Linked DNA regions of Oreochromis niloticus. The protein of the gene in region 1 purifies or fractionates together with the protein of each later gene. This does not show direct contact. Links are inferred from orthologs where the notes say so. Each region holds a gene or a part of one and is shown in the gene's direction. Other genes may lie near its edges.

Region 1 (7,465 bases):
CTTCCCCACGCCCTCCTCAAACCTCCGCTCAACCACCGGCAGCACGGTGTCATGGAGGAAGGAGGCATTCTGCATGACAAAGGCTTTCTTCTCAGGGTCCTGCTCACAGCGAAGGCTGTAGTCTACGTGCTGTACGGCCACCAGGATGATCTCCCTCAGGCTCTCCAGCAGCACCATGTGCAGCTCAGGGAAGTAGAGCTTCAGGCCTTCCTCTAAGAAGCTCATCATCTGCTTGGTGAAGGCCACGACAGTATAGCTCAGGTTCACCCAGCAGTCATCGCCTGTGTACTGCTCGAAGTGAATGCCACAACTGCGCATCTCATCCTGCAGAAAGATAAATACGTTAATGTTGCAGCAGGTAAAGGAAAACAGTGATTTGTGGCAGCTTTCATATGAAATCCTCAGCATTTGTTGTAACAGAAGCTCTAAGCACACAAGCCAAAATCCCTGCCTCCAGAAATTACAACATAATTAACTATTATTTTTGGTAAATGTAGTATTTACTTTATAAAATGAGTTCCCCACATGACAAGGTTGTGCTTTTATTGTACAAGGAGCATGCAAAAAACCCCAAAATATAAAATTATATAAAAAGGAGCTTAAAAGCCTCACAGTGGAAAAATTTCAACAGTTGAATCATTTAAGCAGATTAATACCGGATTATCAAAGGTTTGGTTTCTGTTACTCAATTTAGGAGGTTCTTGGTTAAAAACTAATCAACAATTGAAGAAAACAAAACACTGAGTGAGAAACCATAAGAACCAAGAGACAAAACAGAAATAATTCTGATCCACCTTAAGTTTAGCCAAAGCCTCAGGAGTCATGAGGTTCATCCTCCTCCACATCTCCTCAGAGTTTCTGTGTTTCGTGGCCTCGATGATAATATCTTTGTAGCTCTGGAGCGCTGCCTTGATGTCTTTGACCAGCAGGGACTGCAGGGTGAAAGTCAGGTCCAGGCCGATCTCGGTGAGCTGCTGACAGTGTTCTTTAGCCACTTTCACGCACTCCGCTGCCGTCGACAGGCTCTCCTTACTGTCGAACACCTAGCAATGAGGAAATAAAAAAATTTACTGTATTAAGAAAACTATACAACCATAAATTTAAACTTGCACGCTGCATGCTCTGGCTGCCATTTAAGAGATCCTCTTGTGTTGCAGCAATACTTTTCAGTTCTTTGCCCTTCTCAGATGGCTTTTTTTTTATTACTAAAAGAACTCAAATTTTTTATACACCTGAGATCCAGAAGCTTATCCTCTGTATACCTAGACACATTGTTGGTTATTTGCGTATTTTAAACCATTAACACCCAAAAACACCACCGGAACACACAAATATTACATCGTGTCTCAGTCGCTTAGTATGTTTTTGGCTATAAACAATAAAGAATATACAAATGATAGATGTTACATATCTTCTAATCATAGGGGACGTACCTATTACTCATTTTAGGGTTTTACCATCTGACATTCTAACTACCTGCTTGCTGAAGGCGTCCACAAACATCCTCATGGCTGATCTGGACCAGACCACGAAGGCAGAATAGCAGCCTGTGTTCCCGGCAAAGTCCATCTGAAATTCCTTGGCCGTCTCCAGCAGGCTGGTGAAGAATATGTTGCAGAGTTTGTGGATGTAGAGCAGCGTGGCTCCTTCAATGCGAAGCTGCCGTATAGCAGTCTGCACTGCAGCGGCGCGGTTCTTCAGAAACAGCTCACAGGCTTTAGTGGACTGGCCTGAAACACAGATGACTGTGTGATGAGACAGTACAGATGTTCATGGCAATTACATTGTCTTTTTGCAAATACATGCAAACTGTGATGCATTATGGGAATCTGAGGGCCTTTATATTTATGACTGCAAATGTACAACATGTGTAGCTATTTCTCAGCTGATTCTGGTATGTTTTTTAGTATATGTCTTGAAACCTATTAAGCTAAATGGAAAAAAAAAAGTCAATTAAATTTGAGTAAAGTGGATGGCAAATTCTCCTTGAATATATAAAGAATACCTGGGAGTGAAGGGACAAAATGTTTAGAAAATAATTATGGGAGATATTAAGAGAGTATTATATGTTAATAGTTAACTGAAATATGAACTTTTGTGATTTTTTCACATTGCCAAAGCGATCCTACCTCAGTGTCTCTCTCTTTCCTTTTGATTGAGTTTTAAAATAGGTTTATACCCTACATACTCCTGCTAAAGGATAATGTTTTGCCCGAAAAAGGTCAAGTACTGAAAAATTGCAAATAAACATGTTTTTGCAAATCAGTCAGTGTGTGGGAGTCTGTTTGCAAAGCTCAGGCATAATTAAAAATGGATCCACTCGAAGCTGTTCTGCACCAAAGCAAAATACAAATTTCTAAGGCTTTATAACATTTGGCCATTCAAGAACAATTCTGACAAAAAATAAATAGTAAACTATATATAAACTATCATGAGGTTAGTTCTCTTAGTGCTCTGAATAGGAAAGTTATTTTCTTAATTAAGTAGTTTGAGAATATTCACCTTGACTGAAGATGAAGAGAAAAACAGTGAATACGTACAGATCACCGCAAGCACAGCTTATTTGTCTGAAAATTACACTTTAACTGCATCCAAGGTCGAACTCGGACAACAAGCAATTTGAAAGTCAAGTCCATGCAAATGATGGAAGAGAATGAGCTAAACTCCCTGAATAATGAACAGTGAATTGTGGAAACCCTGTGAGTGGGCTCCTTACTGTGAATACACTGAATATAAAGTGAGATCTAAGCAGACAGGTGTTATTTGTTTTGGTGATGTGTGCAAGCTTGTTATTATTGAGGAAAATACAAAAAAATAAAAGGACCTAGTCTGATGAGCTGGGAAACAGCCCGCCGGGTTGCTTTAGGACCGCCACGAAGTGACCGATCTGGAGACAACTCAAACACCAGGACCTCTGTCAGCTGCCGCACACGTTCATCCACCTTCCCCCTAAGCTCTTTAACCTTCGGGGTGACAGGCTGATCTCTGAGATACTCGTTGAGCTTGTCCAGCAGGTCAACAGCACCCTCGAAGTCTCTCTGGGCAATGCACACGTCCAGATCCTCTGGCAGCTCCTGGATCCACTCAAGACTAAGATTCACGCTCTCCTCACCATCAACCGTGTCTTCATCGTCATCCATATCAAAAGGATTGGTGGATACCTCAGCTCTAACAGGAGAAGTGGGGACCTCCTCCTCCTTCTTGTGCCTGTCTTTGGAGACTTTGTTTTTCTTGGTTTCATCTAGGATCTCCAACCACTCTTTCTTAACTTTGCTGTTCTCTGCCTGGAAGATGCGGCTGTCTGGAAACATCAGGATCTTGAACATGTCCTTCATCGGAGGGTTGTCTTTTACGTTAACCACAGCAAAGCTCTCCAGGTCATACAGAGCGTTGTATTTATACTTAACCGTGCCACGGCGGTTAGGCAGCCAGGTGGCAATCAGCAGACAGTCATTCATCAGGAAAGCATGCACCTTCTGAATGGGGGACATGTTGTCAACATCAAACTCTGCAAGGTCCCCATTGTAGATAAGGTGCCTGCCTGGGGTGTCCATGATGTTTTTAACCCCTTCCACTTTCTCCAACAGTGAGGTGAGGGTCCTCTGCTTCACCTCCTCCGTCTCCTTGGGAAAAGCTGCCTGCATCTCTTTAGACGTCTCATCCTTATCTGTGGACAGCAGGGCCTGAGTGATACTCTCCATGATGCTCTTCTGTTCAGTCAGGATGTGGCTCAGCTGGTACATTTCGCTCTCCAGATAGGAAATCTCTTTGGCAGTTTCGATGAACTGTCTGTAGTTCTTGTAAACATTTTTCTTCAGATTTTGAGCCGTTTCGTCCGCAAGGTTTTGGATTTTTTGTCGGTGCTCCTGCAAATCCCTGTCGCCATCGGACTGCTGTGACAGCTGCTTGACGTAATTTTGCGGGTCGAAATTGGGCGATTCGAGCAGCTTCCGTAGTCGGTTCCCCGTTTCCGACATCTTTTGCCGTGTAACTGTTTACTTATTGAGATAAATTGTTGAGAAAATATAGAAAAAACTGGACAGAGAACTAGTTTATCGAGGCTCCTTGGTTCATATCCGCTTGTAGTCTAAACAGGAAGTTGACACCCTGGAACGTCACGGGATACAAAAAAATAATAAAAACAATTTTAAAAAATCTAAATGATAATTAGTCGTTCATAATGGGTCTTATATTTATTTTTAATATAATTTAACATATGTTAATGATTTATATTAGAAAGCCGTGTTGCTTTTATTTATTTAACTGGTGGAAACTACTTGAAACGAACAACACTACAGTTCCCATAATCCATTGCCAAGACCTTCGCTTGACTATTCTATCAAGTTTATGGTAGTTACGCAAAACTAAACAGGATGTAGCATTTTATAAAACGAAAGAATGTTCCATTTTTGAAAAAAGATATTAGTGGATGCTACAGAACGCATATGCAGATAGTTTGATATTTTAAACTTATACATCAAAACAAAAAAGAAAATAGCCATATTGAACTCAGGCTTTTACTTAAAACTTACTTAGTCGTTTAAAACTGACTTAGTTGTTTTACTTTGAAACCCGTAGCGGAATTTATTTTGTCCTATTGTGACAGACCTGATACACGGATCTTCGCGCTAGCTTTGGTCTGACGGTTAGTAATATGAAAATGTTACTGAAAATTTCATGACAGAAAGTATTTGGACACGTATTGGTAATTTGTCAGACTACATTTTGAGACGACGTGATGCTACCGCTTTTTTGAGACCTGTACAAACTGCATTAGCTAGTTGGCGCTAACACGCTAACCAAAAAGAACATAACAACAAATATCATCAAAACAACAAAAAAACTTTCCTCTCTTGTCATGGATGAGGATTTTCTGCTCGCTATTCGGCTGCAGGAGCAGTTTGATCAGGAATACCGGGCTTCATTATCTTCATCAAGTGGTACTATAGATAATAGTTTCGGGCAGAGCAATAAGAAACGGAGAGTGGAGGTAGCTGGAGGTGGTAGCGATGTTGTTCCCTACTGGAAACCGAATCCCCAGCTTGAGAGGCCACTGTCCATTGTGGACGAGTCCTGGGAGATGCTTGACCCTAGCCCCGACATCAGGGCCATGTTTCTGGAGTTCAATGACATGTTCTTCTGGGGTAAACTCAGCGGTGTGGAGGTGAAGTGGAGCTCGAGAATGACCTTGTAAGTCATGCATGTTTTTGTTATTTTTAACTCCCACAAACTTGTCTACACAATAACACCTTTGATTTTTGTATGGGATTTGGTTTGGCATGTCTGTAATGTGTCCTGCTCCTCTTTTCCTCTCTTTCTTCTCTTAGGTGTGCTGGAGTTTGTTCTTATGAGGGTCAAGGTGGACTGTGTTCAATCAGGCTGAGTGAGCCTCTGCTGAAGCTTAGACCCAGAAAAGACCTGGTAGAGGTGAGGTGGACCTGAACACCATTCACATCAGAAACACTGGGAAAGGGCTTGTTGTAGGGGCTGAAATTTATACAACTATCATTTTACCTCCCTAACCCCAGCAGTGAATGCGTGACAGTGTGATAGATTAGAACTTGTAATCCTTAAAAAAGAGGACAATTTTCATTTTATTAATCAGTTTATTTTCACTGGTTGCCACAGACCCTTCTCCATGAAATGATTCACGCGCTCCTGTTTGTGACACAAAATAACCGGGACAGAGATGGCCACGGACCTGAGTTCTGCAAACACATGAACCGGATCAACAAAGCCAGTGGGACCAAGATTACTGTAAGTATATGTTCTTGAGACATATTCAAACTTATTCTGTTTTGTGGACCACATATACATACAAACCTTCAAATGTACAGTTGTATTCAGAAGTTTACATATAATCATCATGGACTTGAATGTCATAGGAATTTGGGGCTTTTAATGATTTGTTTGAACTGCTGTTCAGGGTGCAATGATTGTACAGCAAAGTAATCAAGAAACATTTAAATTCATTTTGGATTTTCTCTAATCTCTCTCTTTCATAAACTTATGTCTTGCCATCTTTCCTTCCTTTCATCAGATCTACCACAGCTTCCACGATGAGGTTGATATGTACCGGCAGCACTGGTGGCGGTGTAATGGGCCCTGCCAGAAGCGTAAACCCTACTTTGGCTACGTGAAGAGAGCCATGAATAGAGCTCCTTCTTCTCTGGACCCTTGGTGGGAGGATCACCAGAGAACATGTGGTGGCACATACACCAAAATCAAGGAGCCTGAAGGATATGGCAAAAAAGGCCAAAAAAACAGCAAGACCTCAGAGAAGAAGGCCGCAGGAAGTGGCAAGCCTTCAAGTACGACTACAGGTAACATGCCCGTACACTCCTGTGTATTAAGCTTTAATACATTGTGCCAACAAACTAGAAAATGTTGTTCATATTTCAAACATTTTAAACATCAGTGAAAAATGTTCTTAATTTTTTGTGACAGCCTCAAAACAACAGTCATGTTATGCTTTGATGCCTGACTGCTTTTAACCGTGAATAGATTGTTTCCACTGAGTAACTTGAGCATGTAAAATCAATTTAAATCAAATGACCCCCTGCAACAAAACATGCAGGAAATATAAAGAATGGTATTTACTGAATTGGCCCCTCAGAGACTCTCGGTTGACCCACTGGACAGCTTTGGAAACATTAAGTGTGTAATTACTACACAATTAATAATAATAATAGTAATAATAATAATAACAGTAATAATAATAGTAATAATAATAGTAATAACTTCTTTACACTTTCAGAAAGAGGAGTTTCACTGGTTAGGCCCACTTAAGGTCAAAATGGACTTTATGTGGTCCACAGTGTGAAATGAGTATGACACCCCTGATTTAGAGCACCTGAAGTGATCACTTTACATACACTGACTTCATTGTCAGAAACTCTGGTCGTGTATATAAAAAGATATAATATAAGAACTGAAATTAAAGAAAAAGCAAACCAGGTCCACTTGAACTAAGTTACTGGATTTAAATACATTGCATGGTTGACTCTAAATTGTATCATTTCCTGTCCCAGGTTCTGGATCACAGGATATAAGGGACATCATCCCATTTAGTGGGAAAGGCTTCATCCTTGGGGGGAAGTCTCAGGACTCAACGTCTTACTCGCCATCTCCCAGGCCACCACTTCCTGTTGTGAAAACACCATTGTCCAACCCTGTCCCCTCCCCAAAGAAGTTCTTCACGCCATCGTCCCCGCCTAAAAGTCTCTCCTCTCCTGTTCACTCTAACAAGACCAATGGGATTTCCAACACTTTTACCTCAGTCAGACCATCCACTTCCATGGGGAGAAAGCCACCTGTAAAGAGGTCTGTCGGCAACACGACGCACTTTGTCAACATAAACGGTTCACCAGTGAAAATGCCAAAATCCCAGAGCAGTAGTAGCAGCCAAGGAGGAGATAAGAGCAAACAGAGTTCCATTGACGACCTTTTTAATAGCACAAGCCTC
Region 2 (8,093 bases), on another chromosome or scaffold:
CTACTGGTGGTGGTCAGAGGGCCCGGTGGCGCCAGTGTCCGGCAGCCTCGCCTCTGTCAGTGCGCCCCAGGGTGGCTGGGGCGCTTGCCATCAAATGTGTGTGTGAATGGGTGGATGGCTGGATATGTAAAGTGCTTTGGGGTCCTTAGGGACTAGTAAAGCGCTATATAAATACAGGCCATTTATGTGTGGTGTGATCATGTTCAAGGTTCCTGTTCAGGTGTTCCATAAATGTAAATATATATACATTAAAAAGAAACTGTGACCTCTGTGTGTTAACGCATCGTGTAGATACTGTGTACTTTTAGCTTTCCAAAATAAACTCTAGGCCAGTCAAAGTTAAGATGAACATAAACTGATACGACTGTCATGATGTGAAAGTAATTTTAGTTTTTCACTTTCTTTTATTTGGTGTTTTCTTTATTTGTAGATTGGTAGATGTAGATTTCATTGTTGTGTATTTGCTCATTTTAATTTTTTTTATTTGCATTCTTTTATTTTGACAAAAGCGGCCCAGCAAATCAAATTATATCACCGGAACTAGAAAAAAAATTAATTTAATTACATTTTTGGGGGCCATGGCAGGGAGGTCAGGATGGGCTTGGTTTTTCAGACACTTAGATGCTGTGAGAGTGGTGGGCGGAGACGGCCAAAAAGACCATCCCAGTCCTGGCGAGGCTGGTTTGATATTTTATCCTTTCTCCTCCAGTGTCTGGGAAATCGTCCTGGTTTACCATCCTTCTTTCTTGCTGCAATCAAAAGTTCTTCTCTGTTTTCTTTCAATATTTAAAAGTTCTGAGGATCATTAAAAAGTCAATGTCATAGAAGTTCATGGTATGTGAAGGAGAAATATTATGATGATCGCAGTCACAACCATGGCAAAACAAAACTTGTATGATTGCACAACACCACCTAAATAAACTGTTCGGCCACAACGTTAAAACCACTGAAATATTTGATACCATCTACCATCTGTTCTGCATGAGTTTCTGCAATGATGTGGAGCACTGCATGTCAGGGTAACATCTACACTGCTGCCACTGCTGCAGGTCAAGTGTATCTAACGTCAAAGTCACTCCCTGATAGCAATCATCTCCCCATGTAAGCCAATCTACCACATGGCAAAAAAAAAGTTTACGAATTGTTCAAAGACCTTAACAAACTGCCCAAGGCGCTGATCCAGATTTTAACCCTACCACACGTGAATCCTGCTGAGCATCAGGACACGCCAGAACAACCTCGGTCAAGGAAGCGCCACCACAGGACCCAAAGCCAACATCCACTTCCTGGTGCCAGACATCACAGACCACCCTCAGCGGTACCTCGTGCACGCCCTGATGGATCAGAGATGTTTTGGCAGCACAGGAGGCAGCCACAGAGTGTTAGACACCTGCAGGTACTGCCGACACTTATCAACATTTCCAGGTGTTACAAGCATAAACGTATTTTTCTGCCCGCATGAACCGGCATGTTAAATATGGCACAGCCACTGCATCACTAAGAAATTGCATCTGTAATGTAAAACTTTGGACTGAATTTCTTATATAGAGTGACACGTCCAATATTGTTTGTTTTGCAAACAAAGTGTAAAATAAAACCAATAATAAACCCCTTGATCCACACAAATACAGCCAGTCACGGTTTTGATGTAATTCGGGAGTGAACAGTAACAAATGCAATATAAAAAGTATCATAAACGCTTCAGCAAAAGGAGGAATAACACTGTTTCAAACATTACCCCGATTCTGAAAGCAGCTGTGATGAGCATTGGCTTTTAAAGGAGAGCCAGCTTTTCTTTCACGTGCAGGGCTGGATTACAGAGAAGGTTTACTTTTGATGCATTAGTTCATAGCAGAGAGGCACTTGAGCCAACCAGAGGGGGGCACTGGGACACTCAAGTGACATTCTGGTGTGACAAGAGGAGGGCTGCGGTTTGATATCAATTCAACCCCTGATTTTGCTTACAGTGAATCAGATGTGCTGACTGACTCTGAATCCTTTCATTAAAACAAAAAAACCTTGTTTAACCCTGACCTGGTTTAGTGACCTGATTTTGTAAAATTGTACTTGACTGGTATTTATGGAAACATCTATTTAAAAGAATAAATACATCTTTCTTTGAAATATAGTGGATTGATTTATAATTTGACATCCAAGTATGTATACCTTCATAGATTAGGATTTTTACGTAAAAGCACATTTGGTCTATTTTTGAACTCTATATCTGTCAATGGTTCCCCAAATTTTTATGTCTGTAGTTTTGTAAGAACCACAGACATAGACTGATCACGCTCCACATGCTTGTGAGATACAGTCTGGTCTTTAGGTTTTTGGACACAATTTTGCCTCTATACACCACTGCAATGGAACTATATACTTCCAGATATAATTTTAATTTAAAATCTTCAATTTAAAATTTGTTTGCACAAAATATAATACTAGAATGAAAATAAGGTAATAACTGACTGAAATCTAGAAGCTCGTGGAAATTAACAAATGCTGTATTAAATCCTCTCGCCTTCTCTCAGGCCTTTACTCAAGCCATTTTCAGCTGCTGTATGTTTGCGCCTTAAGTTTTGTCTTCACTAACTAAAAAGCCTTGTCTGGTGCATTAACATCAGTTGACGGACTGCCTTTGAACTTCTGCCTTTGGAATTCTGAGAATTCCAGTGAAAATGTCAACCTGGAAAAAACAGAAGGTCTTTTATCTGTTTAATATTATCATGGACTAACAAGGGAACAGACCTCACATAAAACTTTTTATGACTCAACTGTCCGATTACTATTATTAGTCTCTGAAACTGGAGGACTATGTATAAAACTGGCTAAAAATCCTAAATAGCTACTGCAATACTTTTGTTAAACTTAAATTAAAGCTAAAAATCTGCACTTTAACTGCTTATTGATTCCTTGATTTAAAATCTGTGGTGCTGTATATGGACAAAAAAAAGTACAAAAAAGTCTTTAAGGGAATTTGAATTTGAATTTTTTAAATATTTTTACATTTTTTGCACTGGTATATTTGCAAAGGAGTCCACAAAAAACCCAAAAAGGTAAAGGTGCTTGTGTGCAGCACAATGAGAAGAAAGACAAAGAGGATCACAATGTTCCTTCATTTAAACCAAATCTGATCCACCTGAGGATTTCAGTGTTGCTCTCCGTCTTCAAGGTGAGACAATTATTCTTGTACTTTGTCATCATTATGGGAATATTTTTCCCTCCTCTGCTGCACGTCGCTGCCCTTCTGTTTGACATTTCTATTAGAAGTTACCGTGCAGGCTGAGCAGCGCTGTGCACTGAAGACTCAGAGCTACTTCAATCTAAATATTACATCAGATAGACTGCGAGAACACACCTCAGATAATCATATATACAGCGTGTCACTCAGATTTGACAGCTACATCTCATTAACAAGGCTTTTTGGAGCAATAGGTTTGCAAGTGGTAGAGTAGAAATGGAAATGCTCAGATAATGATATGGGTTAGCTTGTTTAAAACCATTCTTATTTTTCTACTTGTTTAGCACATTTGTTCAGGGTTGGAAATGTTCCTCTGGTACATTATTTATTTATTTATTCAGTTTCTTAATTGTCTTGATTGATCCATAAGAGACAAAAAGTCTCTTTTTTCCCCATCAACATGGGAGAGTCAGTGAATTTCATTTTGATTAAAGCAAATAAATAACTTTAAACTTTTTGAACCTACTCTTTCAGATCTGATGCAACAGAAGTGAAGCACACCAATGCTGTGTCGATCCAGAGGCCACATACATATCTGGTCAATGCATTTGTGACATTCACATTTTTTGATTCTCCAGTGCCTTTACTACAATCCATCAATGGTCTTGTGTTTTTGGAGTATCTCTCCTGCCGACCACAATATGTGCATCTGCAAAAAAGTGTCTCTAGCACAGTCCCGTGTGTAGCATGTACCATGTCTACGGCAGACTTCAGACATCAGCACAACAGTGACACTTTGTTGCTGAAACTTTCTGATGACACAGCAGTTGTCGGCTCAATCAAAAGTGGTGAGCAGGAGGAGAATAGAGGAACAGTTTAGGACTTTGAATGCAATCCTCTTCATCATAATGTCACAAAAACCATTGTAGACTTCACGAGGGGTGGGAGAAGGAGCCAATCAACACCAATAACTGTAAGGAGCACTGAGATGGAAGTGGTCTTCAACCACAGATACCCTGGTGTGCAGCCCAACAGTAAGTTGGACTGGAATACCCATATACAAGCGGGAGAAAGATTACTTTATTTCCTAAGGAGCCGGAGGTCAGTTAACATCTGTTATTTATGTTTTGAAGCTTATCACTTCATATAATCCTATGTTTTGAGCACTGCACTTTTTTTCTTGTGACCTGAGAAAGTTGCCTGAAAGCTGAAGACACACTGGGCAAACCATTTTTGTTCTGTTGTCATTTTCAGTTTATTATTGCCTGAGTTAGAAATATCATGCAGACTCCCCATGAGGAAGGAATGGACTTCTCTACTGAACAATCTGAGGATGCTGCTGTTGTAGTTATTGCTCTTTGATATGATGGCGGTGTAAGAAGCTTGCTTTATTTTCTACACACTGCTCCTTTGCCTCCCGCATAGACGGTAAGGTAAAACTGGAGCACATTGTTGGGCTACTATAATAAGAGATAGCTTTAAAGTGGCCCCTGGAGACCCATCATCATTATTGTTTTCCACATACATAGGTGCATTATAGTGCCTATAATGAACTGATGCTCTCTCCACTCAGCTCCACTGCATTCACATTGTGGATTTTGCTGTTCTCAGACAGTTTGCACTGATTTTTAACTGTCCCGTGTTGGTTTTGGGGTACAAAAAAAAACGTATTAATAATGATAATGTGTGTGGAATATAGTAAAAATAAATGAATGAAGCTCCTGTTTTTTTTTTTACTTCTATCATTCATTTGATCCAGGGAGTGAGTCACAGCCCCGTCTGGCCTGCAGAGGGCAGCCTAAAGCCTTTCGCTTCACAGGAAGGACGGGCGGACACGTGACATGCAACAGGAAGTAAATAAACTGCTTTCCCGCGCAGTTAAATTGGAACAGCAAGTCGTCTGCTTTCAAGGAGAATAAACCAAAATGGATGAGCTTTATTTGGATAATATTGACGAATACGTCAATGACCATAATAAAATAGTAAGTGCCTTCTTAATTCGCGGTATTTCATTTTGTGCGATGACGTTTTCTGGCTGAACTAGAACATGAATTAGCTCTGGCTTCGACATGATTGGCTGCTGAACTCCGCTCAAAAAAACTGCCGTTTTAACTTTGTCTGGTTTTCACGACAATTTATGTGTATCCGGGGGCATTTTTATCAATTTTAGGGATGTTCAGGGGTCTCCGTGTTAATTCGGCTCTGCCATGCTGTAGTAAATGGCACTTGAATTGAAGAAAAGCTTATTTTTAGTTGACCAATTTCAGTTACTGCTGGAAACCGCCAAGTGCGTGACAAACACTGCTGTAGTAAAGACATTTCAAACACTGACATAAAGTCGATATTTGTTTATATCTGATAAGTATTAGATATTTCCCAGCTCACGTAGCTTAATGGAAAGCAACAATAATCGGTACCTTAAAGAAATGACAATATTTGGATAATATTTATTATCCGTCATATAGTCTCTGTGTAAATACAAGTGTCCTGTGTGCATTCTCTACAACAGGTAACCTATAAATGGCTGAGTCTCACTCTTGGAGTTCATGTCAACACAGCAAAACAGTAAGTGGTTACTTTGACATGCCATGAACTAATAAAATAATATATGATACTTTTTTTTTCCATCTTCAAAATGTCTTGTTTGTCCAAGCAACAATCCCAAATTTAAATTAATTAGGGTTTACTGTATTTAGCGCCAAAGAAGCACTACATTTGACAGTAATAGTCCAGTGGAATGTCGCTTGAGTTTTTCTGCAATGAGTTACACCGTTTTTGTTGTGTTACTGAGATGAAGACATGCACATGTTTGCATGTTTTGGCATATGTGTGCATGCAAAAAAAGGTGCTGTGTGTTTTCTTTTAAAAAAAGATCATTAACACTTTGTGTCATTGGCTGATAAATACATAAATGCCATAAACACTGATGTTCCTAAGTGGCCCAGGTAAAGGCTCAAGTTGTGGGAAATACATGTAAGTTGTGTCTTGTGTTCAGAATGCTCTACCACTACCTGGATCACAAGAGGAAGGAGAGTTCAGCTCAGCTGCATGCCACCTACCTTGTGTCAGGGAAATTTGTGGACAACGGTCAAACGGTGAGACCTGTTGTAGCAATTTTTGTGATTTTTTTTTTTTTTCTACATGCACAAAGCTGCAGATTTAATGATTTTTACACTGTGTTTGCTTTTCAGAGTCACAAGGTGTCTGTTGTGAGAGAGGAGCAGCTGGAAGGTGTGTAAATATTAATTCACATGACATCATTCGGTTGTGTTGCTCTGTAACAGCAAGGTTGGCTCGTTGTTTGGTTCTCATTTCGAAAGTAATGTCCTCATTTCATAATCATCACCATCACTAAATGGTACACTTTTATGTCAGTGAGTCTTGATTTTCTTTGTATTTTGTTTTATTTAATGACATAGTTATTGTAAATGAAGCAGCAGTGTGTCAAGTTTGCTGTTTTCTTCTGCAGACTTCAAAGCCAAGATGAGCTTGGTAGTCAGCGTGCACGTCTACAGCGTCCAGAAAGCGTTGCTTAAAGACAGCGGCCCACTTTACGCTGTGGACTACGACGCTGTGAAAGACAATCTTAAAAACTGCAGCAGGTATGCTAATCATGGTGTTTTTTGATTTGCAGTGACCAGTAATCAGCATTTCTACACCATCTGTGTAAAAATTAGTTTAGCCACTATTAGAATGAAAGCATAATTAATGTATAATGTTATTAATATTATTTAATAGTTATTTCCTTTTGGTTTTCAGATACAGCGCGATCCGCTGTGCCAGCGCAGTGCCCATGTCTTCTGTGGAGCTGCAGCAGGCGAGGGAAGTTCAGCAAGCTCCTACACCTGAGCCTGAAAACAAAAAGGCTGGCATGAATGGAGACACCAGCCCAGTTTTAAAATCATCCGCCAAGCCTCCAAAAGGCATCATGGGAATGTTTGCTAACAAATCTGCTCCTAAGAGTCAGGATAACAGCAAAGAGATGAAGCCTGAAAAGAAAGAGGATGCACATGATGTACGGCTTTGTCCTTGTGCTGCAGTCAGTTGCTCTCCAGGGTACTTGAGTTTTTGCTCTATTTGTTTCTAAGTGTGTATTTTGTATTTTAGATCGAAGCACCCAAAAGCAAACCGGTCGCAAAAGTCAATCCAGTGGCAAACTTCTTTGGGACTCAAACATCAAGTGAGTAATAATTTAAAAAAATTGTGTGTGTGTGTGTGTGTGTGTGTGTGTGTGGTGTACTTTATTAAAAGGGGGATTAAAATTCATATGTTCCATTTAGACTGCTGTTATTTTGTTTTAGGTTTCTATTTTAACCTTGAAACTGTTCTGCTCATAGTTTGTTTTTATTATTATTATTAGTATTAGTATTAGTAGTAGTAGTAGTAGTAGTAGTAGTAGTAGTAGTAGTAGTAGTAGTATTTTGCTCTTTATTTGACACACGATCTGCCTTTCAGAGCAGTTGTACAAATCACATTATTATATAAATAAATGTTGTTCCTGTCATGTTCTTATTTCACATAAACCTAGTAAAAGCATCATAATTGAATGCGTTACTCGTCATGGTGGAAAATAATCAGCAAGTGAGCCAACAAGTTTTTTAAAAAGTACCAAAGTGCTGCAGGTTGTAATCAGCAAAACAGTTTTGTCTTGCATGGAGTGTAAGGTTTGAATGTAGAGGCTCTAAAGCAGAAGCCACTTGTGAACACGATCCAGAAACCCTGCCATCTTCTCCGCCAAAGCTCATTTAAAATGGTCTGAGGCAAAGTGGAAAACCTTTCTGGTCAGAAATCAAAATGTTACGTTTTACTTGGAAAACATGGATGCCACGTCCCAACTTTTTTTGCTGCCATGATCTGATATTTTCAGTGTTTTTTTGTGAATAATTGAGTTTGTATTTTAAATAAAGTTTCCACG

The links. The genes of interacting proteins can lie anywhere in the genome.
Region 2: the proteins of sprtn (region 1) and pold3 purify together in Homo sapiens (affinity purification with mass spectrometry; 3 studies listed by BioGRID, with this or other methods). This does not show direct contact. The link is inferred for Oreochromis niloticus from reciprocal best matches to the Homo sapiens genes SPRTN and POLD3.

What each region holds. Positions count from the first base shown.
Region 1 is NC_031980.2:18,418,478-18,425,942, forward strand, and holds the start of sprtn (DNA-dependent metalloprotease SPRTN), read left to right. Parts: upstream 1-4,363; 5' UTR 4,364-4,858; coding exon 4,859-5,190; intron 5,191-5,327; coding exon 5,328-5,427; intron 5,428-5,628; coding exon 5,629-5,757; intron 5,758-6,040; coding exon 6,041-6,323; intron 6,324-7,031; coding exon 7,032-7,465. Other genes in the region: exoc8 (exocyst complex component 8), read right to left, coding at 1-324, 795-1,043, 1,477-1,730, 2,825-3,977. UniProt on the Homo sapiens protein: DNA-dependent metalloendopeptidase that mediates the proteolytic cleavage of covalent DNA-protein cross-links (DPCs) during DNA synthesis, thereby playing a key role in maintaining genomic integrity.
Region 2 is NC_031982.2:27,838,900-27,846,992, forward strand, and holds the start of pold3 (DNA polymerase delta subunit 3), read left to right. Parts: upstream 1-5,002; 5' UTR 5,003-5,103; coding exon 5,104-5,160; intron 5,161-5,687; coding exon 5,688-5,743; intron 5,744-6,173; coding exon 6,174-6,273; intron 6,274-6,369; coding exon 6,370-6,409; intron 6,410-6,647; coding exon 6,648-6,780; intron 6,781-6,937; coding exon 6,938-7,193; intron 7,194-7,285; coding exon 7,286-7,358; intron 7,359-8,093. UniProt on the Homo sapiens protein: Accessory component of both the DNA polymerase delta complex and the DNA polymerase zeta complex.